Medicago truncatula: one gene and its partners. The protein of the gene in region 4 binds, or shares a complex with, the protein of the main gene of each other region. Links are inferred from orthologs where the notes say so. Each region holds a gene or a part of one and is shown on either strand. Other genes may lie near its edges.

Region 1 (7,304 bases), about 22 Mb from region 4:
GAGCGATTCCCCCCATAATGATCCCGCCTATCAGGACCAGAATTGTCTCTGCGCCTATCTCCACCATAGCCACCCCTATTGCCCCTATAAAACAAAGAAAAACAATTAGTTTTGAACTTCAAAAAAGGGTTAGAATTTTCATTTTCACATAAGAGAACACTCAAACGTATAACATGGTCAGTTGATGTATTATGTCATCAGTGTAATAAAATAATTATATGCCAAATAAATGTAAAGTATACAAATCCAAATTGAAAAAAACCTAAATTTGAAAATCATTTATCCTTTACGTTAATGTTATGATGATTAGAAGATGGATGAGCTCAACGCTCCACTTACTACATTTATGCTTAAAAAAATGAAAAATAAAATAAAAGATATGGATAGAGATTGAATGAGTGAACACTTTTGAGTTATTATGACAATAACCCATGTTTTCGATCCAAATCTACAACGTTAGCATATCATTCATCTCCAACAGATAGATCCAGTGTGTAATGCATACCCATGGTTATTTGCTGGAGGAGCCCTTGGTGCAGATTTCTCTGCCATTGCAACACCGATTTTGTAACCCCTCAAATCATAATCTGAAAATGCAGAATCGTGATTAGTTCAACTTTGTATGAGAAATAATATCAATGTATATAGCAAGAAAAAAGCAGTTACAAGAAGTACCGTTGTAAAAACCACCAGCAGAGTGAGCTGCAGAGGGATCTTCGTAAGCAAGGCATGCATCACCCTTGTTTTTTCCATTTTCATCAGTGTAAATTTTAATGTTGTAAGGCCATTGATCTTTATAACCCCTCTTCTGCTTTATTCTTCCAACCTAGGCAGTTAAAACACATGTAACAGAACGTCTAGAATGGTGAGGCAGCTGATACTTCCCAAAGAGAACGAAAAAATAAACCTGCTACCCATTTTTGCTTTTATTCTTCTAACTTAGGCAGTTAAAACACATGTAACAAAATGTCTAGAATGTTGAGGCCTTTTTTTTGGTGTGTGTGGGGGGGAGATAGAATGTTGAGGCCTCTAATTCTTCGCAAAGAGAATCAAAAAATAAACCTATTACCCCTTTCTGCTTTATTCTTCCAACCTAGGCAGTTAAAACATGTGTAAAAAACGTCTAGAATGTTCAGGCCTATTTATTTTTTGGTGATAGAATGTTGAGGCCTCTAATACTTCTCAAAGAGAATTAAAAAAAATAAACCTATTTCCCCTTTTCTACTTTATTCTTCCAACATAGGAAGTTAAAACAAATGTAACAAAATGTCTAGTATGTTGAAGCCTCGTATGAAAATATAAACCTATTAGCACAAGTACAACAGGATTATATTTCTTACACAAAGCACAATTCAATATGTATTATGTATCAGACTGAGAACTTGAATTTACTCTGAAATTGGCACTTTCATATAAAATATCCATTCGTGATAAAAATATTGCGACAAATAAAAAGTGCAAAGTCAACAGATCAGAACATTACTTGTCCAATGCCTCCAAAAAGTTGCTGCAATTCATCAACAGTCACATCGGGTGGTAAATTTGAGATATAGATTCTAGAGTTGTCACATGTATCTCCACAATTCTCATCGCACTGCTTCACCGGAGCCGCTGGAGCTGGCTCAGCAGGAGCTCCACCAAATCCACCACGATTACCACTGTCATATCCAGCTTGAGGCACAGCCCTGCCACCACTCCGTGCATCACCTCCACCATAACCACCCGTGTTACCCCCATATGAAGGAGGATATGAATTAGGTCCACCGGTATAACTTGTAGGTGGAGGAACGGCATCTGTTCCATAATTTGCATTCCCACCATAGGTAGGTGGATAGTTTCCACCAGCACCACCATAAGACTGAGCAGCAGCAACAGGAGGTGCTTGACCATAGCCACCATCTTCTCTGCCTTGATTCCCGCCATACGAGCCACCCCTATTGCTCCCTCCACTTCTTCCATCATTGTTATTACCCCTTCCACCATTATAATCACTAGTTCTACCTCCATAGTTCTCAGACCTACCTCCTCGGTTACTGTCATATCCTCCACCACTTCCTCCTCTATTATACCCACCGCCGCCGCCGCCGCCACCGCGGTCATTACCACTGGTAGGACATGGGGTACCACATTTGTTACATTCACTCCTTCTAGCGAAGTTATTGTTCCCACAACTATATAAATAACAATATTGAATCAGATAAGAAACGTAAGAATCAAATCAACAGCAATAAAGTTAAGTGAAAAAATAAATCATTAATTTAGTCCCTAAACTATCACTCTCTCCGATTTAGCACCTAAACTATGTAAACATAATAAGTATTTCCTAAACTTTGTGAACTTCGTCAATTTATTCCCTAAAGTACATAAAATCCATCAAGTTAGTCTCTAAACTATGTAAATATAATAAGTTTTCCCTAAGCTATATGAAACCCATCAATTTAATCCTTAAACTATGTAAATATAATAAGTTGTCCCTAAACTATATAAAATTCGTTAATATAGTCTCTAAATGTACATTAAAATCCGTCCTTTTTGCCCCTAATATCTTAAGTGCAGGAACTAAACTGATGGGCTTTACATAATTTAGGACTACTAATTATATTTACATAGTTTGGAGACTAAATTGATTGTTCATTTTAATAAAAAATACTAGTGAAAATCATAAATTTTTGGCAGAAAAAAATCAAATACCTTTCGTTAGGGCAACGCCAATCTCCATCTCTGCCACTTCCACCACGGCCACCACCTCCACCTCGGCCACCGCGATCTCCACCTTGAAAACCGCCACCGCCACCTGTTTAAGTTCACATCAATCCACAGAAATTAAAGACACGATAAGATTGAAAATTAACTAAAAAAGAAAACAAATTACAGATCAAAATAACAAACCTCGACCTCCATATCCTCCACCACCACCACCACCTCCTCTACCGCCACCACCTCTTCCACCATATCCTCCGCCATCGTTTCCACCATATCCACTCCTTCCACCGTAACCTCCACCATCGTTACCTCCATATCCTCTACCACCACCGTTTCCGCTTCCTTTCGCTGCGTAACCACCACCGCTTTCATTCCCAGCATATCCACCAGCATAGCCACCACCTCCTCCGCCTCCGTAACCACCACTAGCACCATAGGAAGGTGGCGCAGAGCCACCTCCGGCATCGTGACCGTACCCTCCAGACATGATTCGATCTAGGGTTCGCTACTACCACAAGAGAGAAACTGAGATTTTTTTGTGTAGTGAAGCTTCTGAAATATTATTGTAGAATGTAACTGTGAAATATTGGGCCTTTCCGTTTTAACAAAGGAAGAAACTTTTTGCACCCTTGTTATTTCTATTACACCCTCCTAAATTATTATTCTACACTTTGTATTTTTGTTTCTTGACTTACACTTTGTATTTAGGCTAAACGGCACTTTTCACCCCCTAAGTTTCTAAATGTTGCGATTTTGACCCCCTATTAAAAAAATGGCAAAAATGACCCCATCTTTAGGGAAATATGCTCTTTTGACCCCTAACATAAGAGAAATATGTTTTTTGACCCCTTATCTTTACAAAAAGTTGCGATTATGGCCCCTTTTTTGGGGCACGTGGCACCTTCTCGGCAATTTTTGGACGAAAGGGGCCAAAGTCGCATTTTTTTTAATAGGGGGTCAAAATCGCAACATTTTAAAACTTAGGGGCGAAAAGTGCAGTTTAGCCTTGTATTTATTATGATAATAGAAATACCACAATCGTTAACTAGGTTAATTTTGTAAATATTTTTTATTTTATTATTTATAACTTCATACAAGAAAATGGGTTCGTTATTGTGAGAAGGTTGGAGTAACTTTTTCCTAGGTTTGCCAATGGCACGAGATTTTTCATGTTGTGCACTTGTGGCATCAGCTAGCTAGGATCAAAATATATATTTTTGGATGAAGCATTGTTGGAACAATATTAATAAAATAATTTAAATTTTATTTTTCATCCAAATAAGAGATTGTTGATATAAGTCACTATTTATGTCACTTTTTTTAAGACGTTTTATGACATGATTCAAAAATCAATTTTTCTTTAAAATCTACTTACCGAAGTCATCAATTTATACATTAAACAAAAAATTTGAAAAACTCATCCTACAACAAAAATAGGCCTCACGGCCAACAATACAAAAAGAGGGAAGTAAAACTTGTCTCCAGATACAATTTTATGTTCATTAATATAAGATCACGGTGATTCAAATTTAAGATCAAATAAAAATCTTTCATGTGAAAACTAAGAAAAATGCTAATGAGTGTCTTCAGAGTATTGGTTAAATTATTAAGATAAATAAATTTGTATGAAAAAGTGGTTTAATCATTTAAATTAGCATCGGAGAAAATCGAACATGAGTTTTTCCTTATTATTTTTCTTATGTTCATAATATTTTAGTATATTCTTTTGACTTTCCTAAGTTTTTCTTTCTTTCTTTTTCATTGTTAAGCTGTTCAAATCAGATATATATTAGAGTTTTATTATAATTCAATGCTTCAGTGTTGTCATAGAAAGTTACGATGCAAATGGTTTTTTCTTCTGAAAGGTGTACAATACATAGGTTAGTTGCTAAAAGTGTGCTTTTACTAATCTTCAATGCTAAGTTCAAGAAGATATCAGTACAAGCAACATGCACGTAAGAAAGTATTGCACCTTGTCATTCCTTCCTAAAATGTAGGAAATGATGATTTTAAATTTGTAAAGCCTTCTTTTGCCAAATTCCTCGCACGCTCAGCTTCTCTACACTGACCTTCGAGGAAGCAAGTGCAGAAAGTAATTCTCTACTTTGTTGTGCCCACTTAGAACATTCAGCCTTCAGCTTTTTCTTCTGAACATCACATTAGTTCAATGCTGACTTCAAATCCTCTCTTTGATTCTCAAGACTTGCCGATTGTTCATCAATTTGTAAAGAGAGCTCATGTATCTGAGCATTGGCAACTGAAGTTTCTTTGTCAACGTGGGTTTGTGTACTCTTTGCACTCCAAAGCTTGTTCATGAGATTGGTTTTCGAATCAATAAGTTGGTCGTGCTTGTTGAATACTTGTTGAGAAGTAGCGTGTTTGATAATGTTGTCATTGGCGAAGTTCTATACTTTCTCAACGAAGTTCTATATTTTCACAACGAAGTCCTTCAACTCAGAAGTTTTATTTTCCCACCGTGCAATGCAGATTGCACGGTGCAACGCGGGTATATATTATTCTCTTCTAACAAAAAATATTGCAAAAGCATCATATGGTAAGAAAAACATCCAACTATGTTTGAAATGCAATCCTACCACTTATCATATGGAGCACTCAAAAAATATTATTAAAATAAAATAAAGATTAATACCTAAGTGAATAACAATGTGATACATCTGCATCATTAAAAACCTTACTTGTAAAACCCAATGGGATAAAACCAGATGAAGGAAAAAAGAGCGCAGTACTAAGCTTACATAAACAAAACGACATTAACAAAAACACTAATCACACCCTATCCTATTTTTGTGAGGCTCCCTCCTAAAATGTAGGAAAGGATGATTTTAAATTTGCAAAGCCTTCTGTTGCGAAATTCCTCGCAAGTTCAGCTTCTCTTACATCGACCCCGGATGACGCAAGTGCAGAAAGTTATTCTTTACTTTGTTGTGCCCACTCAGTACATTCAGCCTTCAACTTATCCTTCTGAACATCACATTTGTTCAGGACTGACTTCAAATCATCAATTTGTAAAGAGAATTCATGTATCTGAGCATTGGCAGTTGAAGATTCCCCGTCAATGTGGGTTTGTGTACTCTTTGCACTCCAAAGCTTGTTCATGAGATCAGTTTTCAAAGCAAGAAGTTGGTTGTGCTTGTTGAATACTTGTTGAGAAGTGGCGTGTTTGATAATGTTATCATTGAAGAAGTTCTTCACTTTCTCAACAAAGTCCTTCAATTCAGAAGTTAACATTTCTTGATGCTGACTCAACTGATGAACAAGCGAAATCAATTTTGATTTGGACTCTTGGTTAGATACAAGATCGTCAAGGTCTGACGATGAGTCCAAAGTCTTCAATTCTTGAAGTAAAATTTGAACGGAGGAAATTGGCACTTGTCCAGTAAGAAGCTTCTCAAATGCAAGAAGTGGGTCTTCTTCGATCAGCTTGTTAATATCTTCCATTGCTACATGTGTTGATGTACTTCCTTCTTCAACACTTATCTCGATAACCTGCTTAAAATTATAAGGATACTTAGGTTTGTAATATAATTCAATTCCTGCATTAAAAAAGAGTCAAAAAAGAATACAAGCAAAATAGGGGAAATGCCTTTTGTTTAGGAGCCACTAATTGTAAATCTGTCTCATTCTTTGTTCCTGAAATGATGGACAAACTTGCTGCTTCTATTTTGCCTAACATAGAACCCTCCAACTAATTGCAAACCATGGAAATGTAAATTAGTTGCATGATATTTTTAAGTAGTAGTTGAAGTAAATGCTTGAAAGCTTGGTTCCATACAGTAAACTCACATGTGAAGATGTTTTAAGCTCATAAGTAACTAATGGCCCTGATGATGAAATATTCGGTTCTGAATGAGTTGCCGATGTTATTGTCTTGGCATTAGCTATAGTTGTTGTATCTTCAAAACTTAACTTGATAACCTTCATAAAATTAAAAAGATATTACAGTGGGTTGCAATTTAGCATAATTGATTTCCAATATAAGTTGAAAGAGAGTCGAGCGAATAGTTGCCTTTTGTTTGGGAGCAGCTAATTGTATAGTAGACTCGTTCCTTGTTTCTGAAACGGTGGCAAAAGTTGTTGCGACAGTTTTCTGTAACGTAGAACCCTCTTGAATACTTTGATCCATCAAACATTGTTGACTCGTTGATTGTTCATTCAACAACTCCTGCGATTAGGAAATTAAGCGTTAGAGATGTGAAACTACTAATTACATTCCTTATATTCATTATATCCATAAGAATGGATTTTATAAGAAGAATATCGAAGGAAGGGACATGGCTGGAAAATTACTTGTGAAATTGTTGGTGAATTTGCTACCGAAGGAATCTCTAAACCAGGAATGTTTACAACAAATTCTTGCTTTCTCTCTTCTGTTTGTTTCATTTTTGTCTCCACAACATTTGACTCATTGCCATTTTTATGTGAAGAAGTTAACTCATGTTTAGATGTTGCTTGAACTTCAGTCCCATTTGGAAACTGAGACACGATAGAAGAGAGTCTTGATCTGGAAACTATTATTTCATCGTCCATAGGAAACTGTTCTTCGATATTTGAGTTTACCTTCATGAGAGGATTGTCAATTA
Region 2 (7,142 bases), on a different chromosome or scaffold from region 4:
AGAGCAGCTTGCCAGACTGAGCCCTAAACAAGGACACCTCAAAACAATGAACCCATTCAGACTACCAATCACAAGGACACAAGAAAAGAAGCTAGATCAGCTTGTTAGACTGAGCCCTAAACAAGGACACTTCAAAACAATGAGCCCTAAAGCAACAGAGGCAATACTAGTTTGACCCCAATCCTCTTCTCTATGAAGATATGTAAATTGCCACAACTTTGGCAAGGCCTTCTTCCCACTGTGTGAACACCAACCGCACACCAACTTTTCTAAACTTGCAACAAAACAACAATCTAAGAGCAGCTGAGCAATATATTTTTAGGGAGATGAACGGTTGATATGAAGAGACTTGTATTAATGGTAAGGCAGTATGCTATAGCTAGCTAAGCTAGCAGCTATGTAGGCAAATGCATCGATGGGAGCACATACCAGGAAATTAATATATATACATGCATAGCATTATAATTGAGGGTGCATGTAAACAAATATTATCAATTAGTGGTAACAAGGAGTTAATTTCGTCCCTTCTAAATCAAGACAAATTTTCTTACCTCACGCAGTGCCTTCGATAGATCTTCCATCGTCAAGACAAGGCGCCTATCCTGTCATAATGAAGTGTCAGTACTAGACACACACAGTGAACGCGTATGGACAAAACCAGATTAAAATCAGTCAAGACTCAAAACCTTCTGTTGTCTGTCCCTTTTGTCTTTTGGAATTGTTGCTTGCCTTGCTTTGCAGTGCCTACAGTTAACGTCAAGTGAAATCACTATATGACTGAGATCAAGGAGATAGTAATGCATTTGCAAAAGAAGGGGACATAAGCACAAAAATTAAGTTGTTGTGTGTGTACATTTATTTATGGACCTATACAAAAGAAGGGGATAGAAGCATAAACATTAAGTTGCCAAGTTCCAAATGAATTTGATTAAATTTGGGTGTCTAATCCTACAAAGTGCCTTCGACACACATTCATTAAGGAAAGGAAAAATTCCATCCGACACTGGTCGACTTCATCCACATGCATTGACAACGTTTTTGCCAAAAGTCAATCATTGAAATCTATTTCTAGTTTACCAAAAGACTTTTGGGAAACTAGAAATAGATTTCAATGGTACACTATTCCCCAAATTTACTGTGCACATATATATAATTGGCTGCAAAGCAGTCATTCAAGTTAAATAAAACAAAAAAAGAAGGTTAAGATTCAATAAATAGAAAGGGAAAAATGAATATACTGGAGGGCATCGCCTGCGACCTCTGCAACAAATTTCTGAGTGGCAACAGCTACCAATCTAGTCCTGAAACATCGGTATAAGAACAAAAGATGAAATGGCCAAGAATCAAACTTAAGTAAATCAATAAAAGAAGTCAACCAAAATGGAAGAAATGTTGAATCCTAAAAGGACCTACCATATTCACAAGCACCCATGTACAAATTTACTAGAGGTAAAAAACAATAGAAAAACAGCAATAATTACAAACTCAAATAAATCCCAAGGTTAAAAAAAGAAGAAAACAAAGGCTAGAAAGTCCGAGCAACAGCAATTGCATACATTATCGTTCTTTAACTTAAATTAAACTAGTTTAACTGACAACCTTGGTTTCACACTGCAACCTGATCAAATAGATTCCATGTACATATAGGATTCCCAGTAAATGGTAAGAAAGATGCACATAGATAAAGACACGAATCAAGGTCTTATGTATAAAAATATAACAGAACAAAAACAAACTGCTATGCTAATCTCTTGTATCTATATTCTATAATTTTGTTTCAAATGACATATAACATATATCCAATATTTTCATACAGCTTAAAGAACTCTAAAATGATGGTAGAGGCTCAGACTCAGAATGGTCCAACTCCAAGGCATAAAAGAACTAGCTTTCTCACATGAAATTCAATATTTTCTCAAACTATGGAAGCATAAAAGAACATTAAGTTACTAGATTGGTAAAAATGGTGAATGAAAAAGAAAAGAGGTACCCACAATCTCACATCAGGACATTGAAAGCCACTCTTGGCCAAGTAATGCTCCACCAACTCATCAGGTATCTAAAACAGTATATAAAAAAAAGTAATTAATATGGATGGATGCAAGTAAAATTAAATTTAAAAATAAAATAAAATAGTGAAAAGTGAACTGACAGTAGGAGTATAATCAACTAAGGAAGCTAGGAAATCGGAGAGTGCAGAATCATCATCTGCCCTTCCTTCGCTTGAACTTGATTGTGGCTGATTCTGATTCATCTTCTGGTCAATCGCTATCCACTTACTCACTGCTCTTGTTCCCATCAACATTCAAAATTCAATTTTTTTGAAAAAATCAAAATCAACAATAACATTAACATTAACATTTCCAATCTCAATAATAATAGAGCAACTCATAACACAAACTCAACACTCCTGATCGAAGGCGTGTTTGGTGTCTGACATATGTTTGTGTCCGACACAGACACAACAACGACACATGTCCATGTCCGACACAACAATGACACATGGATTACATTCAGTTATGTCATTTTCTTAAATTATTACAACTGTCGATGTGTTAGTGTCAGTGTTGTGTCTGTCTGTGTTGGTGCTTCACATGTGAAAGGCAGGGGTTGGAGCATTAACTAATTAACTAACATAAAACGATGCACACATTAACTAACTAACATTTGTTACATAGAATACACAAACTGAATGATTAAAGAAAAAACACCAAATTGAATAATTTGAAAGAAAAACAAATTAAACACACAATAAGTAATAAAAATTACAATAGAATTAACAAAATGAACTTTCATAGATGTTCATATCGTTAGCAGTAGCAACAAAATTTAATAGCAAGAAAAATTGAGGAAATTTTTCTGTTCTCCATGGTTTACCATAAAAGTAGCACGAAAAAATAAACTCTAAGGCTTACCCAGAAAAGTGAAAACAGGCGGAGACACGATTGAAGGCGGAGAAAGAGGCGGAGACGGTGGCGAATACTAAACCGGATCGGGTTCTCGTGTGTTCCTGAAATGTGATTTTGTTTTTATATAATGGGTTTTCCGTCGGGCATCTCAAATGAATCGGATCAACGTGGTTACATTATACTATCTCCGTCCTTAATTATAAGGTCATTTTAAAAAAATAACGGGAACTAAGATAGTAGATATTTGTATTAAATACGTTTGTAATTACTATTGTTTTTACAATTTTATCCTTTAAGAAAAAAAAGAGGGTTGGTTTATGTTTTCAACATTCTATTTATTGCTGATTGAAGAAAAAGATGTATAATAAATAGGGGTATGTAAAGAAATAATTAATGTAGTTGGAAATAGAAAATGGGTCTTATAAAAAGGAAAAAAAAATCTCAAAAAAGTCTTATTAGGGACGGAGGTAGTACATTTTTTCGACAAAAATAAACTTTTTTAACATTCCCCTAAAAAAATTACTTTTTTAACATAAAAAAATATAGTAAAAAAAAAAAAACAAATACTCCATGCGTCTCAAATTGTACGTCGCTTTAAGGAAAAAAAATTTAGAGTAAATTACACTCCGCTCTCCTCAAAGATGCTTGAATTACACTCTCATCCTCTCTTATGTTAAAATTTACATTCCCCTCCATTGAAAAGTAAATTTGATAATCCCCTTAAGTTAGTTGTTTATAAATATAAGGTCAAATATCATCCTTGGTCCTTAAGTAAGTTGTTTATAGCTAATTAGTCCTTCAACTTTTTTGTCTTGAATAAATTGGTTTTTAAGTCATAAAAAAATTACAATGTTACCATTTTTCATTCAAATGCTTTAAAAAGTCTTTACGTTAATATTGAGATGATAAGTCCAAAAAGTGTTCATTACACCAAACATGATTACTTACATACATTTTCTCCTTAATGTTTTTAGGGATGGGTGATATTTTGAATGTTTTTTATATGACTAAATACTACCATCATACTATTTTATGAGGTAATTTGAAAAACTAGGACCATAGTTTATTTCAATTGTGATGTTTTTATTGTCTTTTCATAGTTAAAGTGCAGGTAATGGGTGTGGGTATGGGCACTTAGGTACCCATAGCGTATGGAGAAGGACGATAAAGTTGTTGCTCACCAAGGTGCGGATACAGGTACTTTTTACAAATGCGGGTATGAGAAAGGGCACTGTAGTACCCTACTCATAGGGTACCCATTGCTATTCCTAAATGTTTTCGAATTCAAATCTAATTTTACAATAAATGTTTCGTAAACAACATTACATATCAAGTAATGAGACACATGCCCGAACTTGGGGCTGCGCAAGCAGCTCAACCAAGCCAGACCTCCAAAAGTTACGGGCCTAAAAAAAAAATTAAGTCTAATACACACACCACACTTAAATAAAAAAAAGTTACTTCTTTTTCTTTTTTCGGTACACGTTTGAGTTTTTTTCTAGATTCCAATTCTCCTTTCTGGACATAAATCGGATGCTATCAAACCATCTTCAATTTTTATAATCACTTAATCAGTCAATTTGAAAAGTTATTTCATTAAAAGAATCACAACGATCATTTCCTTTTCGCATAAACAATTAGTTTTCCCCTTTTTCACAACGGCGGAGTGACAAATCCAAATGACACCGTTTGGTAAATTTCACCTCTCTTTCACTTTTATTTTATTTTATTTCATTTCATGTATAGAAGTTCTTCTGATTCTGATTTTTTAATGAAGTTTAGCTACACAAAAACAAAAATTGCATTTTTATTTCACTGGAACCTATTTTAAAAAGAAAGTTGAGCCTCCTATTTCATGGAACGACCCTAATGAGACATGTTTCAAACCAAGACGGAATAATACACCTATGAACTCTAGTTTTAAGAGCAATGAATTTAGATCCACCAACATAGATTAAGCGTCTACATAAACATTTTGAAATTGAGTGCGATGAAAACTTGGTAACGGTAAAAAATATCAAATGAATATAGTCCATAACAATATATAAAAGGGTTGATTGGATTTACCCCATGCCATTTGAGCGCAAAGAACTATACGAAAAGTATGTAAGAAAATACACCTAAGTCTTGTCCTTAAAATAAATGATTTTTTAAATGACAAATGTCAGCAATTAGTTGTTAAAAGAACAAAAAACATATAAATAAAAAGATCAAATGAATATAGTCTATAACAATATATAAAAGCGTTAATAGGGTTTACCCCATGCCATTTCAGCGAGTTTTGGTTTACCAATTATAAAAAATAAAGTTTGAAGATTCTCCCTTGTAATTTAAAAATTATTTAGTTTTGGACTTTGAAAAGAGCTAATTGTACTAATTTCATTACATGGTGTGTTGAATGTGTAAAACAATTTTATTTTTTAAAAAAACAAACAAAAAAAAAAAACATATCTTGCTATTTATTTTATTTATATATTAAAATACTCAAAATTAATAATAATTAGAATTCATCATAACATTCAACCTACATTCACCTTTTTATATTAAGGGTTAATTAAGTTTTTGGTCCCTATAAATAACTGCAGTTTTGTTTTTAGTCTCTATAAAAATAAATCACACTTTTTAGTCCCTACAAAATTTTCTGTTAGTATTTTTAGTCCCTGTAAAATTAAAATTTGTTTAATTATGCTTAAACTTCTAAATTTTTGAAAGATTTTTTACATACATGTTCATAACATCGTAAGACACTCTTTTATAAAAAAATTACCTTTTTAACATGTAATGAATTAAATATGAATTTTTCTAAAAGCCAAATTTTCAAGATTATATTAATGAAAATTTGGACCTAATAATAAAATTTTAAGTTACTTTTTTGCGGAGGAACTTTGTATAATATTCTAAGTAAGTATGTGAAAAATATGTTACAAATTTAAAAGTTTAAGCACAATTAAGCAAATTTTAATTTTACAAGGACTAAAAGTATGTGTTGGTCCCTATTTAAATTGAAATTTGTTTAATTATACTTAAACTTTTATATTTTTAAATGATTTTTAACAGACATGTTAAGAACATTATAATAATCTCTTTTATAAAAATTATAATTTTTTAACATGTAATGAATTAAATATATTTTTTTTAAAAAGCCAAAAATTCAAGATAAAACTAACGAAAATATGGACCTAAAAATAAAATTTTGAGCTAATTTATTGTAGCGGAACCTTTTATAATGTTTTAAACAAGTATGTAAAAAATCATTAGAAAATTAAAAATTTTAAGCATAATTAAACAAATTTTAATTTATTGTAGGAACTAAAAAGTGTGATTTATTTTTGTAGGAATAAAAAAAAAACTGCAAATATTTATAGGGACCAAAAACTTAATTAACCCTTATATTAACAAAATCCTCCAAGCTTTTGAATCAAGAAAATTTTCTTATCAACCAAAAAATAATTCCCCAGGTTTTCACTATATCATCCAATATTGGGGTTTTGACATGACTTAGAAACCAAAATCTCAAATCTAAAAAAATTCAGATCCAAAACCATGAATAAAATGATGGTAAAGAGACGATTTCTAAAAAAAATATGGTAAAGAGACTATTTCTAAGCTTACGAAGATGATAAAGAACCATGATGGTGACAAGATTTGGCGAACATAGATCTGAGATAAAATGTTTTTAGTTAATTAAAATTATTGTTTAATAAAACAAAATTCCATGTGGAAAAAAATTAAATGTAAAAAAATTTAAAAAAGACAAGTCGGTTGCCACTTACTCAATTTTACAAAAATTATCATGTCACATCAGCATTTCTGCAAAGTCTATGCTCTGATGATCTAAATCAAATATTTTTTAAATTACAAGAGAAATTTCCAAAATAAAATTTACAGGGATAAACCAAAACTTTTTCAAATGAAGGGAACAAAACCTTATTAACCCTATATAAAATGAATATATCAATTTGGGCTAGATTTTTTCTTTTGTTTTTGTCCCGTGAGCATAACTCAGTTGGTAGGATAATGTATTGTTATATGCAGGGGCCGGTGTTCGAACCCCGGACACCCACTTATTCAAAGTGAATTCTAACTACTAGACTACTTGACCAAAAAAAAAACTATGATTCATTGTGAATTAACTTTCTGATATTGATTGATCAATTATCTCTATAGTGCAATGAAAAAGACCATCAATAATATAGGATAGCACTTGAATGACACTGTGGTTGATAACATTGG
Region 3 (7,608 bases), on a different chromosome or scaffold from region 4:
AGTGCACCACTAGCCCTTACAAACCCCTATCATCAGGCATGACTACCAGTTTTAACAAAAATAATAATAATTTATACAATATTTCTAAAACTAAGGGTACCGCCAAAAGTTCTCAAATCTTATTCCCAAAAAATTCTTTAGAACACACTCTTTATGATTGGTTCAATTTTTAAAGAGTAAACACTTCTTAAGAAATGACCAATTGATGTGGTAAGTGTACTGAATTATTTTTTTTTAAAAAAGGACAAATCATCAAGAGTATGATGAAGACTGTGCTGCTAGCCTTCATTTCTCCACCGATACTATGGGGGAATATGTTAGACATTTAGGTAAAAAATTCACTGATAACAAAAGAAAAATAGCTACTTTGCATGATATTTTCCACCAAGCATACTTCATGTGGGAAACAATTCCAGTAGAAATAAAACACAGGCTTAGTGCTCTCAGTTGATAAAGGAAAAAAGATACCAACAGAATATCAAAAACTGCATGATATAGTTTTTCCTGACAGACAACTTCACCTTGTTCAACAATGCCAGGCGGTGTTCGTGGTGACTTTCCTGACAACTGCAAACAGAGCACATTCTTATCAAGGAAAATTGAAGAGGTGGAGACAATGAAAATACAAAGAAAAATTAACAGTTAACGCTTGTTAACCAAATCAGAAGATAGCATTTTGATTTATAAATTCAACACTACAGCCTGATAATGATATCTAGATATGTACAGTAAAAAAAAAATACAATAATAATAAATTTGATATCCTTACATCTATATCTGTCAATGATGGACCCAGCTTGTCAGCCAATGCAGATAGATGCTCCTTTGCATCCTAAAAGGAAAAATTCTCATTTAGCACCAATTTTACTGTTTTTGACCAAAACACATAAACAAATGAAGAAAGCATAAACGATCCAGAACAAGAAAATGTGCATCCCACAATAATTATAATTCTAAGAATAATTATAATTCTATTTTTCAAAATAAGAAAACAAATCCTAAATGAACAATTATCCTGGAACCTCCAACAGATCCTACAAAGAATAATTGATCTGGAACCTCCAACAGATCATTAAAAGTAGTTCAAAGTATAGGCATTAACATCAATCTTGTTGTACACATACAAAGGCAAGCTTTTATCGCACTCTATACTCAGTTGAAAATTATGATGCCTAAAGTCTTAAACCTATTTAATAAAGATCAATTTGACTTGTAAAATAACCACTTGATCTTAACAAATAAGAATCTATGCACACTACTAAATCAAATCTTCCAAAGTTGAATCTCAGGTAATTCTTTAGTTTAGACAACCATACTGCGCCAATATGTCCAAACTGCATCCTTTTTTGTTTTTCAAAAAGCTACAATAAAGGTTTTTGTAAAAACCTGTCCTCCTCCCAAAAAATAATATATCTCAAAACAGTAAATATGGTTTTTTCTTTTACAGAAACAGTAAAAATGGTTTTAAATCTTCTAATATAAAAAAGTTTAGCAACTTCAAAACCCTCCGCATACCAATCATGATGATACTACAATAGCTTAGAAATTTCAGGAAACTACTGAGAAGGTGCGTAGGGAATCAATCAAGCAAAATAACAAATATATGCATGCAGAAGCCCGATCTTGGTTCTCAAAACATTTCAACAAGCAAGTTCACAGAAACATCAAAGGACACATTAAATTACCTCATCAAGATAATCAACATCGAGATCACCAGAATTATCAACATTTCCAAACATGAACCCGAGAAAATGATTACCCTTGCCAGACTCCTCATATTCTTCTTCATCATCTATCAAGCCAAATTATTGAACATACTGAGTTAATGAACTATATAAACCAAAAAAACGAAGCTAAATAAATCAACACCGCGTCAAACTCACAGACAAACGGCTTGACATATTTCAGCACATAGCAATTAACAATGATGCCACCAAGTCAATCCTACTTTAGGGTTTGTTTAGGGGAGAGATTTTGGAGGGGAGGGGAGGACTTGTTTTCTCTTCTAAATTATGAAAGCTATAAAGTATGTTAAAAAAATAATGAAGTGCAATGAATTGTTATATGTCATGTAAATGAATAAAGTGTGATTGAATTGTTATATGATCATATACCATGGCATTCTTTCACCTATTTTAAATTCTCAAATATATACTAAAATATAAGACTTAGCCCTCCAAAATCCATCTCCCAGATTTACCCTTAATGACTAAGCCTATTCTTAAAGTGCCGGTGCAACTAGAAAGCTTAACTTTCATAAACATCCATTATAAGCAAAGAAAATACATCTAGATTCTCGGTGATACATCAATCGATCATTTTCACAAAATTTAGAAGCGAAAACTCCGTCCCACTGCTCCTGATTCGTATTTATCATTACTTAACTCGATGCCCAGAGTTGTTTATTTGAGTAAACTAGGGTTTCATTACATTTCTAGCTTCTAATAGTGCTCCTTCAAAAAAAAAAAAATTAATATTGAATCTGAGAAACACTATAATTAAATTTCACATTCATACACTTCCACTTTCTCCTAGTTCCTTTAACTTCTGATACTCCTATTCTAAAATCTTCAATAAACAAAGTTACCTTCGTTTCTCCCATCTTGTGAATTATCCGAATCATACCCCATGTTGTTGTTGAGCGGATCAAGGTTTCAAAAAACGGACCGGTACCGGAATTGCGGACGTTACAAAACGGTATCAGCGGCCACCGTGACCGTTTTTGGACCTTTTCACGTCGAGAACAAAAATCACAGGAAAATCGCCGATACGGAACGCCGTTACGGACTCCGTTACAGACTTGAAAATTCAGAAATTTGAACAGGAGAAGAAAGAATCTTATCTTTTGTGCAAGTCAGGCATCTCAAACCTGAATTTTATCTTTTTTACACAAATCAATTACTTACTTCTCTTCCTGCTTGCGATTTGCGATTCTGGTGTTGCTGTTTCTTGCTTCATTCTCTTTGTTCAGGTTTGCGATTTGCGATTTGCGATTTTGCTGTGTTTCTTTCTTTTTTTTGAGATGGTTTATTCATATATTTATTTTAAATATGGCATTCGTCCATGTAATTTCAGACGCATTTTGATTTTTTTCTTTTGTAAAATAAAAAAATATTTTAAAAATATCCTGCAAAAAATTAAATTGTTTTGACCATATGATAGTTGCTGACTGTGCAACTATAATTGCTGACTATGCAACTTTTGCCACATGATACTGACCTGGCATACCACATAATTAGTTATTTATTTTTTTTCAAAATTTTTTTTTAAATTAAAAAAATCTGAAAATAAATTTAAAAATCATAAAAAAAATTAAAAAAGCTGAAAATTAAATTTTTGACTTTTAACTAAATTTTTTTTTCTTTCAAAATTCTGAAAATTCTTTTTTTTAATTAAAAAAATTCGAAAATAAAACTGAAAATTATATTTTCAAAAGTTATAAATTTTGAGATTATATAATTTTTTATTTTATTTTTCAAACATTTATTTCCAGATTTAAAAAAAAAAACTAATTTCCAATTTTTTCTTCATTTAAAAAAAATGGAATTTTTTTATGATTTTTTTATTTATTTTCAGTTTTTTTAATTTTAAAAAATATTTTTAATGATGTGGCAACTGCCATTTGGCCAAAGTCATCCCATGTCAGCAAAAAAGTGGGGTCATGGATGTTTTTAAAACAAAAAAAAAATTGCAAGGATGTTTTTAAATTTTTTTTTACAAGGACGAAAATCAAAAAGTACTTTAATTACAGGGACAGAATGCATATTTAAGCCATTTATTTATTAAACTCAAACAAAAAAAAAAAGTGTGCATTCATCTCTTATTTATTAAGTATCCGCGTGAGTTTAGCTCAGTTGGTAGGGATAATGCATAATATATGCAAGGTCTGAGGTTCGAATCCCGGACACCGCCAAAAAAATCTCTTATTTATTAAACTCGAGGTAATTTTAAATTGATACTCTTAATTTGAGTATTTAGGTAACAAATACTAGATGAAATTTTAGAGAAAAAATTGGGACTTTGATGTTAGAACTTTGAACTTTGATTGTATATGTTGTTGTGATTGTGATTTTGTTGGTGGATTACATCATGGCTCATCAACAAATTCTTCATATAACTACCAACAAATATAACCACCAAGAACTTCTGGATTGTTTGATTATGTCTTTGGAAGAAGTGGAAATAACAATGATGAAGGTGATAGTGGAAGTTATGATCATACACATCGTTCTTCCTGAAGTGGAAGAAATAGTCACAAGAAAAGGGGTTTGAATTGTGACCCTTTTAAAAATTAGTCCTGAAACTTAAATAAGTTTATCTACTCAAGAAAGTTCTTAGTAAGAGTTAAACAAATAAAAATATTTGTTAATTAATAAATAGAAGGACCAGAGAACTCTGGATTGTATATTTAAAATTAAGTAAATAAAAGGACCAAAGAATTCTGGAATATATTACTGAAATAAATAAAGGGTGTGTTTGATTCAGCTTTAGATGGAATTGATTCTGACATAATTGATTTTGATAGAATTGATTTATGTTTGGATATAATAATGCAGAATTGATTAGACAAACTGAATGTTGTTTGGATAGTTTTCATCAAAATTGTTTTTGAATGTATGGTTACTAAAATGGACATAGTTAAATTCAAGTAAATGTGCATAATTGAATGTATATGTATATTAATACTAAATGTATATATATTATTTAATTTAAATAAATAAATTTTCTATATATTAATTTAAAACATAATAAATACGATCATCAACTAATTTTTTTTTACAAAGTATTTGTTGATATATTTTATATTTTTTGATAAATATATTTAAGTTAAATAATACTAGAGTTAGTTGCCAAAAATAATCAAATATAGTGTAAAAGAAAAAATGCAGTAAATTTGAATGGGGACACCGTAAAGGAAAATCCAAAACTTGGTAGCTCATGACCATAAATATTTTACAGGGGCTAATTTGGTTCGCTAAGTTTTTTGATTAAATTTGGTTCATCAAATTAATTAGAAAGCAAAAGGAAGGGGAATTGCTAAAGGACAATAAAGGAAAATAATAGGTTCTAATAATTAAAATATAAAATTTAATGTATAATTGATTCTATGAAAGCCATAAGCTATAAATTGTAGCTTTAAGGATAATTGTTTTTTGAGGATAGAAACAATTCTGAAAAACCAAACCAAACAACATTGAAAATTCAATTTCCACTTTTGAGGCTTGTAGAAGTGCTTCTTGTTGCTGAAAAACCAAAACAAACAGGCACAAAGTAATAAAGGAACGAGAAAAAATATTCATATTGAGTATGATATGTAAAAAAAAAATGAAGTACAGATGTGGGAAGAAACAACAAAAATATATTGCACATAAGAATCATGTTTTTTTGCGAAGTCATATTCTCTTATCAAACATAATCAAGCATGTATCATGATTAATATGCATTTCAGTTTATCATCTGAATAATGACAATTATGATCAATTGATCATTTTCAACAATTTTTTAAAACGAGAGAAAATAATTCATTAGTGGAAGCGATGAAATCAGAGTCATTTGACACAATGTCAAAAATATTTCTCTCTTCAAAGATTTTCATGTTGAATATTTTTCTAAATATTTTCAATGGGTAAACATCTTTAAATGAATATGCAATATGATTTTCTCATTATAATAGAAATCAACTACATGTATTTAGAATTTGGAAAACACACATGTTCATAATCAAGTATGTGTTTAAACTTATCTCTAAGTAAGTGTGCTTGTGTGAGTTATCTTAGGTACTTATCTTTCAAGTTTTCATGCTTAAAAGAGATTCTAAACACATAAGATGAGTTTGAAGAGAAGTATTTATGCAACATATTTATGCACAAACATATACTAGTATGCCATTGATGTTTATATCTATTTTTGTCTCCAAATTTTGCAAGTGCAACAAGGTAGACATTCAACAATGATTAAACAAAATATTCATGCCAAGAATATGTTCAATATTAGTTTAGGAACAAAATATGTAAATCCCTTTTTAGATCAATTTTGAATTTATTGTTAATATATTAACAATTCACACAATTATTCTCTTGTTAAATATGATTTTTATTTTGTTGAAATCCTATCAACGATAAAACTCAATTAAAATATTCATATTGAAAGACATTGAATATGATTTTTAGATAAGTCATCAAAAATCAATTCATGAAAATACATATGTAAGAATAACATATGACATATATTGTATCGAAATCATGATATTTTGATATTTTTCTTGTTCTAAATCTCATGTCTATCATCCATTATGATTAAGAGACTAACTCATGGAGTTTTAGCGTATTAATGATCAGGGATATGTTTTCTATAAAAGATATAGAAAGACGTTTACATAACAAGATATTGATTAATAATGCAATCAATATACATTTAAATTTTTGCCTAAGAAATATGAACTTACACAAGTGTTAATTCATTAGGCTTATACATGCAAATTTTAATTGATCTTTGTGATGAGAACATTCTCAGCATCATAAAAAGTTCAAGAACAAATGATGCGTTTCTTTTGAAAATCTTTCAAAGATAAATCCTAAATTATGATCCATTTAAAAACATGTTTGGAGAATGAAATTTTCATAATCCATGTTAACATATTTTCAAAAACCATTTTCAAAATATATCACTTAAGAATCAGGAAATGAATATGTCAATGAGTAAACTATAACAAATTTTATGAACATCTTCAAATTTCATACAGTTATGAAATTTTATAATTAAGGTATTTTTATGATCCAATTCTAAGGCATATCATGATATGTCATCTTAAGAACAAATTTTAGATGAACCATTAAAAGTAAGAATGATTCAAGGTGCATTGTATGCGAACGCTCACTAATCATAGGATTTACTCATACCCTGATATAAATCATCACTCACAAGTGTGCAAAAGTAAATGTGTGAAATGAATCAACAAGTTAAACTACTCAAGATGTAAAACAAATATAATAATAAATATATAATACATGCTCGATTGTTGGTAAAGACTAGAATAGATTTGATGGCAAAAGACTTGAGCAAAACCGCATTGGACATTGCAATGAAGAGAATATTATTATTAAGTGCTGGAGCGAAACTTGCCTCACGAGTCACTGATATTCCTCCCTCGGTTGCGCAAAGACTAAGATCATCAAATCCCGACAAGAATAAAAAAAGTGGTAATTTTTATGCGTCGTATTATAAGAGATATATTAGACGAACAACATATTAGTGTTTCATAATTAAAAAATATCATATTAAACATACTTTTCAATTACGAGGAATGAAACAAAATAGTAGTTTACGGTAATAAAATAAAATAATATTTTTTGAAGTCTTGCTAACGAATACAATGAACACTCTTTAAGGATTATAAAATAAGAAAGTATTCCATATAAAAGTCAAGTAATTCAATTTTCAATATCTAAACTTTCATAAAAAATTACTATTTAAAAGGTCTTAACAGAGCCTTGATTAAAGACATTGTAAGCATTTCCCTTTAAAAAAAAAAACAAAAAAATCAAAATTGAAATCAGCACAGCAATGTTCGATATATATAAAAAAAGGTAGCACGATATGCACTTGAGA
Region 4 (8,125 bases):
TCAATTCGTGATCTTCTTCTTCTATCCAATTCAATTTTTCGCTGATGATTTAAACTTTTTTTATCCTTAGTTTTCATTTCGTGTTCTTCTTCTCTTCAATTAAATTTTTTGCTTTCTTCAATTCAATTTTTTTTATTTCAATTCAATTCCTTATAATGATTTCGACATGCAGTATGTTGTGTTTTTTTTTTATTCCAATCAATTCAATTTCCAAAATATTCAATAAAGTTCAATTCCTCATAATTTTAATTAAACGATATGAATTTTTTGTTCTCAATCATCTTTCTTATCATGTGTACACCAAACACATGATAGGATAAGTGTCTATCATGTCACTATCCTATCCTATCCTATCCTTAACCATTTTCTAATCCTATCATGTCTCTTGAATATCATGTGCACAAAACGGACCCTAAATGGAAAACCACATTGATATGATGGCGGAGCTAGAAAAAAAGTCTAGAGTGGGCCATAAATAGTGATGGAGCTTAATTTTCTTACAAGTACATTTTATTATTGGTTAGTTCCAATGACTACAAATTTGTTATTTGTTGAATATAATTCAAACCGATATTTTAAAATCTGAACCGTTTATCAACCTTAATAAAGTACAAGATAATTGATCGAACAACTAGGTCATTGAACCTAACGACTGAATTAAATAACTCGACTTCAATAAACAGATGTATAGGTATTAAATCGAATTGAATCAAACGACCGAGTAAAAAAAAAATTAAAATAAAACTCATGACATATATATTAATGTAAAAAAGATCATTACATAAGAAAATATACTTATAATCAAGTACAATAATGAAATATATTTTAATTTAATAAAGAATATAGTATTTTTTTTTACCTTTTTTTTTAGGGAAGTTTTTTTTTTTTTTTTACCTAAAAAATAATGTTTATACAATTAAATATTTTTATGATATCATGTTTTTTAAGGATATTTTAACATTTATGTTATATGTTATGCATTATAAAAGATGGTTGAGGTCCTCTTTTATATAAAAAATATGTTATGTGTTTTGAAAGAGAATTTTTTTGACAAAAAAAGAGTTGAAGTTTCCTTTGTATAAAAATAAAATAAAATAAAAGAGTAAAGAGACAATTGTACCCAAAAATAAGAGTAAGGAAGGAAAAGATTATTTTAAATTGAATAAAGGAGTTATGTTTTATTAAAGAAAGAAAGGATTAAGTAACAAAAAAAAAGGATTATTTTAACAATTATGAATGCTTTTTTTTATACAAAAGAAAATAAAAGAGTAATGAAAATGGCTTTGGCAAGAGTTGAACCTAGCACATAAGACTTGGCAAAAAGGCTCTTAACCACTACAGCATGCTACACAATCATCATATAATTACAAAACATAATATATATATATAATAAGAAGAAAAAAATTGGGGATGAGCCATGGCCCACCTTGGCCCATGAGGGGCTCCGCCTCTGGATATGAAGAGTCATTTGCATTGCATTATGGGAAAGGAGAGTCCAAGGGCAACCCAACAAGGAATTGAGTGATTTGAAGTAAGGGTTGAAGCCCCAGATGGCTAACCCTTGAGATCATATATCATAGATAACTTTCATGACAGACACATAATAGGCCTACAAATTGTTCTGCCTGTTAAGTGACATCATTATGGAACAAATCCTAATAGCCAAACATTCTCTCAAAATAAAAAGCATCATATAAATTGGTAAAAAACAGATTCATGTAACACAGAAGAGAAAGCATGGAACGGGAGTTAAATTGCTGAAGGACGTCTGAAATTAATCCAGTAGAGTATGTTAGAAGATGAACACTTGGTACATTCACTTGAGAGAACTCTATGAATCTCTAATGTTATTCTTTCATTTCTGAATTCATAATCATTACAGTGTGCATCAGGTCTATTTAGAAACTGGTTATCCTACACACTAGCTCTAACAACCTGTAACTAACTTCGTCAATAAACTAATTCAGATTCAGAAGAATAAAGATATTACCTCACATATCTTTATGTTGAATTTACTTTGCCTTAGCGAATGAGCAAACTCCATTTCCTAAGTAAAAAGAACATAGTTGGATTATTCAAAACAAACTGTTGATGAATGATTATCCAAAAAACAAGAAGATGCTCAGAGAGTAAAATAAGATTTTAGATAGAAACTAACCTTCAAATGAGTAGGAGAAAGAACTCCTTCCAACTTTTGAATGTCACGTAAGTGCATCAATTCATGGTCTTCGCGGAAAGTAGTGAAAAAATTTCGAGCTGAGGACATCAAAAACAAAATATTTGATTTTATAAAACACATCTGATGGTTCACATTTCGGTCATGTTCGGATAAACAGATTAATTAAGCACTTATAACATAAGTGTCTATCATATAAGTTCTTGTATATAGGTTATTACTACAAGAAATCAAACTATTTTCGTATAAGGTAAAAGTTTTCTTAAGCTATCTTGGAGAGCTTATGGAAATCAACTGAAAAAAGCTTATGAATATGTCAAATTCTATTTCCATGAATTCTATCAAACATTCTCATAAGTGGTTATGTAAGTAGATAAGAACAAATAAGTCAATCCAAAACCAAACATTCCAATAAAACTATGCAAGTGTACATGAACTTATTGTACCTTCTTGAATATGCCCTTTCGCTACAAGGTCCATAAAACAATGGATAAACACCGGATAAAGCACACGAAGCAACTCATGCTGAAAAGAAAAAGAAAAAAAAGCAAAAATTAAAACATAATTTTGATTCAATAAACAAATTAAATGAAATTAAGCAATTAAACAGTGTATTAATTACCTTATATAAATCCAATGAAGAATAAGTCCAAGTTCTTAATCTACTATATCCATTATGATACCTTGCAGGACCATTCTCCAACCTGCAAAACACAATACATTACGAATTTACGTGAATTAGAGGAAGAATCGTTGAATGAAAAAATTAGGTTGAAGAATGGAAAATTACTGAGAGAATGCATGAAGGTGATTGGCAATGTCAGGTTCGAGAATGGAATTGGAGGATGAACTTGTTTTGTTTTGTTGAAATTCTTCTTGGAAAACTTTTTCGGTTTGTTTAAACCCTTTCTTCTTCAAGTATGCGGTTACGTAACCGAGAATTTCGTCTTCGTCCATTTTCGATTGCAAATTCGAGCTCAAAGCTCAAAAACCCTTTTACTTCACTTCACTTCGATTCTCAGAATCGCAGAGACACTTCGTGTTGAATTTGATTCTGGTCTCGTTAGGGTTGGTTCTGGAATCAGATCTGATAAATGGGCTTGGGCTCTTGAATAACAGGCCTTGCTCACTAAATCTCAGCCCAGATCAAAACATGTATGGGGATACTATTTACACTCTCCTTTCTATTGCTACACCCTCTTTTATCCAATCTTACCTTCTTTTTTTTTGTTTTCAAGAATAAGAATGCATGTCTTGCACGCATAAAGGATGCTTGAATCGCACAAAAAAAATTGTTTTAGAGCCGGTTTGTTATAGCTTTTTTAAGAAAATAATCACTTTTAAGAATATTTGATCCTTCCTTCAAAAAAAGAAAATTATTGGATCGTTCATTTGGAAAAAAAAAATTGGATTCTTTTGTTACAAGTTTTTTAAAAAAAAAAAATCTAAAAACAATTTTAAATGAGAAACTGTTGAGAGCATCTTCTCAAAAAAGTAAAACAAAATTCTAGGAGAAAGAAAATAAGGATCAAAAGAATTCATTTTATATAGTTTATATTCAATGCATGATATATGTAATGTCTGGGGTTCGAATCCCGACCATCAAAAAATAAAAACAAAGTAAGTTATTTCAAAAATATTTTTTTTTTTAAACTATGACAAACGCGCTCACAATTTTATGACATTTTCCTAACAGAAACAAATTAGATTGCAACTCATTATTACATATGGACTAAATCTAATATATTAAGTTGCATCATAAATTATTTCCTGTGTTAGCTTCTAACTGAACACTCGTTAATACAATCAAACAATCTAATATAATTAAATAGAAGTTCACATCAGTTCCCTGTTCATATATTGTCTAGTGAGACTGGGCAATTAGAGTGATATGTACGAAATGAAAAATTTCAAACTATGAGTAATAATTTATCACAGAAGTAAGTAAGCCTTACGTCTAAATAATTTAGTTAATGAGCCGCAAAGTTTGAGTATTTGGGACATCCAAAATGTAGAACTTAAATTGGAACTTGCTTCTTTAACCACGTTGCCCAATCTAAGTTCTAAAGTTCAAGTCAAGGTCCATTAACAGTCAACCATCCTTTGAAATTATGATTGATGATGATATCATCAATGATGAAATGAAACCAATTTTCTTTCAATTTGCGCGTGTGTTCCTTTTCTTATTTAGCCTAGCAGCCGCACCATAATGTTTCTGGAAGAGTTTTTTTATAGAAAGAAATTTGCAATTGCACCATGTATTTTATTGAAGTTTCCTAGAACCTGTTTTTCTCTATAAAAATATTCAACTTACAAAATTCTACGTAATTATTTTTAAAATAGTTATTTTATTGGGTGAAGAAAATAAGATTGTAAAAAAATATCTTACATGACGTATGATAATATCAATGGAAACTAATGCAAGTAGTTGATGCATAGTGTATGCGAGAGTTATAAATTTTTAACTATCTAGATTGATTTGTAGTCTTCGTAAAATGATTTTATAAATAAAATAGTATAGTATAAACTAAGGATATAAAATTGAAATATAAAAACTACACAAAAACTTGGTGTATCGTTTTTTATGATTAACATCCGAACTTTATACATTGTGGTTTACAATACACACACGATATGTATCAACAACTTATGTTAGATTTCTTGTCAAAAAACTTATGTTAGATTTAACGTTTTTTTTTTTTTTAGGGAATGTTAGATTTAACGGTTGATAGCCCCTCTATGTATATAGAGAGATATAGATAAATACAATTGATTTATTTGTTTTATCTTCTTATATATTAAAGTTAACCCGTAAGTCCTAATTTTAACCTAAATCCTATTGCATAATTTTACTGTTTTAATCCTAATGCTCACACCTAATCTCCTATTTTCATGAACAACCCTAATGCTCACACCTAATCTTCTTATCTTCTTATATATTAAAGTTAACCCGTAAGCTCTAATTTTAACCTAACCCTATTGCATAATTTTACTGTTTTAACCCTAATGCTCACACCTAATCTTTTATTTTCATGAACAATCCTAATGCTCACACCTAATCTTCTTATATATTAAAGTTAACATGTAAGCCCTAATTTTAACCTAAACCCTATTGCATAATTTTACTGTTTTAACCCTAATGCTCACACCTAATCTCCTATTTTCATGAACAACCCTAATGCTATCATCTAATCTTCTTATATATTAAAGTTAACCCGTAAGCTCTAAATTTAACCTAAACCTTATTGCATAATTTTACTGTTTTAACCCTAATGCTCACACCTAATATCCTATTTTGATGAACAACCCTAATGCTCACACCTAATTTTGACCTCTCTTCCTGTCTATGCTCTTACCTTCTTCAAGGCTCCGTCAGGTATAATTTCTTCCCTTGATTCTATTTTTTCTAAATTTTTTTGGGGGGGTTGTGAGGTGCTTAGGAAACTCTCTTGGGTTAGTTGGACCACTATTTGTTCACGGCGGGAGTTTGGAGGTTTGGGGGTGCGGAGGTTGAGGGAGTTTAATATTGCATTGTTAGGTAAATGGTGTTGGCGGCTGTTGGTAGAGAGGAATAGTTTATGGTATAGGGTTTTGGTGGCGAGATATGGTGAGGAGGATGGGAGGTTGGAGGTTGGGGGCTGGAGTGGTTCTGCGTGGTGGTGAGAAATCGCTAACATTAGGGATGGGGTGGAGGTTTCTGGTGGTGGTTGGTTTCAGGAGGGAGTATCTCGTATGGTGGGAGACGGGGTAGATACTTTATTTTGGCGTGATGTGTGGGTTGGTGATGTCCCGTTTTGTGTGCGCTTCAGGCACCTTTTTGACCTTACTTTAGATAAGTCTTGTTCGGTTGCGCATATGTTCTCTAGTGGGTGGGCGTTGGGGGAGAGGGTTGGAGATGGAGGCGGAGGTTGTAGGTGTGGGAGGAGGAGATGCTGGGGGAGTGTATTATTTTACTTCGTCATGTTTCTTTGCAGTCTAATGAGAAAGATACATGGAGATGGGCGCTGGATCATTCTGCAGGTTATACAGTCAGGAGTGCCTATCATTTGTTGACTTCTCAGGATCGGCCTCAGGTGGATGGTGCTGATGCTTTGGTTTGGCACATTCATGTTCCGCTTAAGGTCTTTATTTTTGCTTGGAGGTTGCTGAAGAACTGTTTGCCTTTAAGGCAAAATCTAGTGCATTATGGTATCCTTCCAGCCACTGTTGCGGGCTGTTTGTTAGGGTGCGACGCTTTGGAGTCTTCTCAGCATTTATTCATCTATTGTGATTATTATGGTTCTTTGTGGTCTCGGGTTCGGTCTTGGCTTGGTGCCTCAGGTCCAGACCCCTTATTGGTTTCAGAGCACTTCTTTCAGTTTACTCATTCAGCAGGAAGGGTGCGGGCTCGACGCTCTCTTTTGCAGCTTGTTTGGTTACTTTGTGCGTGGATCATTTGGAATGATCGGAATCAAAGGTTGTTTACTAATATAGGTAGTTCCATTGATCAGTTGTTGGATAAAGTGAAGCGACGCTCTTTGTGTTGGCTAAAAGCTAGTAATATCGTTTTTGTTTTCGGTTATGATTTGTGGTGGTCAAGGCCTTTGGATTGTTTGGGTCTGGCCTAAGTTTTTGTTGGACTTTGTATATCTGTAATTTTTTGGGCTCTCCTTGGTACACCTTGTACTACGGAGAGTTTTCGGTTTGTTATTATATAGGTTTCATTTTTGTTTGTTCAAAAAAAAACTTAGTTGGTAAAAATATTGTTGTATATAATATTTCAAAAATATATATATTGTTGCATATAAGTATGTTAAATCAAAGTTAGAAATTCGACTTCTCCATTTGTGTGCGTGAGTTTTCAATAATTTTTGTCATTTTATCCGTCTATAATAATAATTTTTGTAAAAGGGATGTGCTCTAGTAAAAAAAATATGTTTGCCATTTTGTGTGCATGAACTCCAACTTCTCAGTGTTATTGTTCGATGCTACAACCCCTGAAGTTTAGTGGTCTTTTCGTGTTCTAGACGTGCTTTGAATTTGGATGAGATGTCATCATTATTTGTTGTGTATAAATTGTATTCGCAGTGTCACGATCTCGAACCCATATCATCAAGGTTGAGTGGTTAATTTTTGTGTGTAAATTGTTATTATGCATTTTACTCTTAAGCATAATGCGTAGTAGTTCACTGGACGAGTCTAGTCAAAGAAAGTTAAAAGATTTGACTAACTTACATGGTCATTTGGTAGATGAATAAGTGCTTATATAAGCGTTCATTGAGCTTTAAAGTTTACTCTAATCTTGATGGACCCTGAAATATCAACTCACCTACAATGACTTGTCACCGTCTCACGGATCTACACACATGAAATTAGAGGGGCAATTGCCCCCACTAATGATTGTATTTTTTTTGAGAATGTTTGTATTATATTTATTGAAATGTTTGATATTTTAATTAAAGGAATATTAATAAGTGTCTCAAGATCAACTGATAAGAAATTCAAAAAAAAAAAAACTTTATCTTATAAATGATGTTATTAGTAATGTAGCTTAATACAAAAGTATTATTTTCAAAAGATATAATTTTTGCATAGCCAAGTTATCACAATATTATTATTGTTATTGTGAAGTGAGATTGATTTTTCATAGTATTAATCTATTACTGAATTGGATATCAAACTTGTTAAAATTACCCTTCTAGTAAATAGTTTTACCGGTAATGGTTTATAAAGTGTTGGTGTTAGTATAATTTCAATTTGGGAATCCGTGGGGATTGAGCAGCTTTCCGACAAAAAGAGATCACCAAAAGTCCAACACAAGCCATATTTTCACAATCACAAGAAAGAAACTGCGTTAGTTAAGAGAACAGTCAAGTCAATGATGAAGAAGACCAAGAAGTTAGTTTATCATTGATGAAACATCTCTTTGGAAGAAATCTACGCAACTACTACTTATTAATGCAAACCATC

Evidence for each region.
Region 1: transcription initiation factor TFIID subunit 5 (region 4) and transcription initiation factor TFIID subunit 15b share a complex: the UniProt entries of both Arabidopsis thaliana proteins name them as parts of the TFIID complex. The link is inferred for Medicago truncatula from reciprocal best matches to the Arabidopsis thaliana genes TAF5 and TAF15b.
Region 2: transcription initiation factor TFIID subunit 5 (region 4) and transcription initiation factor TFIID subunit 10 share a complex: the UniProt entries of both Arabidopsis thaliana proteins name them as parts of the TFIID complex. The link is inferred for Medicago truncatula from reciprocal best matches to the Arabidopsis thaliana genes TAF5 and TAFII15.
Region 3: transcription initiation factor TFIID subunit 5 (region 4) and transcription initiation factor TFIID subunit 1 share a complex: the UniProt entries of both Arabidopsis thaliana proteins name them as parts of the TFIID complex. The link is inferred for Medicago truncatula from reciprocal best matches to the Arabidopsis thaliana genes TAF5 and HAF01.

The regions. Positions count from the first base shown.
Region 1 is NC_053044.1:29,927,522-29,934,825, reverse strand, and holds the start of transcription initiation factor TFIID subunit 15b, read right to left. Parts: upstream 3,258-7,304; 5' UTR 3,191-3,257; coding exon 2,890-3,190; intron 2,795-2,889; coding exon 2,692-2,794; intron 2,172-2,691; coding exon 1,484-2,171; intron 1,094-1,483; coding exon of another isoform or gene 971-1,093; exon of another isoform or gene 911-970; intron 827-910; coding exon 676-826; intron 588-675; coding exon 506-587; intron 85-505; coding exon 1-84. Other genes in the region: uncharacterized protein, read right to left, coding at 5,632-6,210, 6,308-6,409, 6,508-6,645. UniProt on the Arabidopsis thaliana protein: TAFs are components of the transcription factor IID (TFIID) complex that is essential for mediating regulation of RNA polymerase transcription.
Region 2 is NC_053048.1:37,498,735-37,505,876, forward strand, and holds the start of transcription initiation factor TFIID subunit 10, read right to left. Parts: upstream 3,076-7,142; 5' UTR 2,916-3,075; intron 2,289-2,915; 5' UTR 2,255-2,288; coding exon 2,153-2,254; intron 2,060-2,152; coding exon 1,995-2,059; intron 1,302-1,994; coding exon 1,239-1,301; intron 745-1,238; coding exon 687-744; intron 603-686; coding exon 552-602; intron 1-551. UniProt on the Arabidopsis thaliana protein: TAFs are components of the transcription factor IID (TFIID) complex that is essential for mediating regulation of RNA polymerase transcription.
Region 3 is NC_053046.1:11,045,817-11,053,424, forward strand, and holds the start of transcription initiation factor TFIID subunit 1, read right to left. Parts: upstream 3,011-7,608; 5' UTR 2,959-3,010; coding exon 2,907-2,958; exon of another isoform or gene 2,631-2,906; coding exon of another isoform or gene 2,588-2,630; intron 1,793-2,587; coding exon 1,686-1,792; intron 833-1,685; coding exon 770-832; intron 568-769; coding exon 522-567; intron 1-521. UniProt on the Arabidopsis thaliana protein: TAFs are components of the transcription factor IID (TFIID) complex that is essential for mediating regulation of RNA polymerase transcription. Core scaffold of the TFIID complex.
Region 4 is NC_053044.1:52,381,013-52,389,137, reverse strand, and holds the start of transcription initiation factor TFIID subunit 5, read right to left. Parts: upstream 3,244-8,125; 5' UTR 3,134-3,243; coding exon 2,967-3,133; intron 2,881-2,966; coding exon 2,799-2,880; intron 2,702-2,798; coding exon 2,623-2,701; intron 2,257-2,622; coding exon 2,159-2,256; intron 2,048-2,158; coding exon 1,991-2,047; intron 1-1,990. Other genes in the region: uncharacterized protein, read left to right, coding at 5,781-5,906, 6,151-6,783. UniProt on the Arabidopsis thaliana protein: TAFs are components of the transcription factor IID (TFIID) complex that is essential for mediating regulation of RNA polymerase transcription.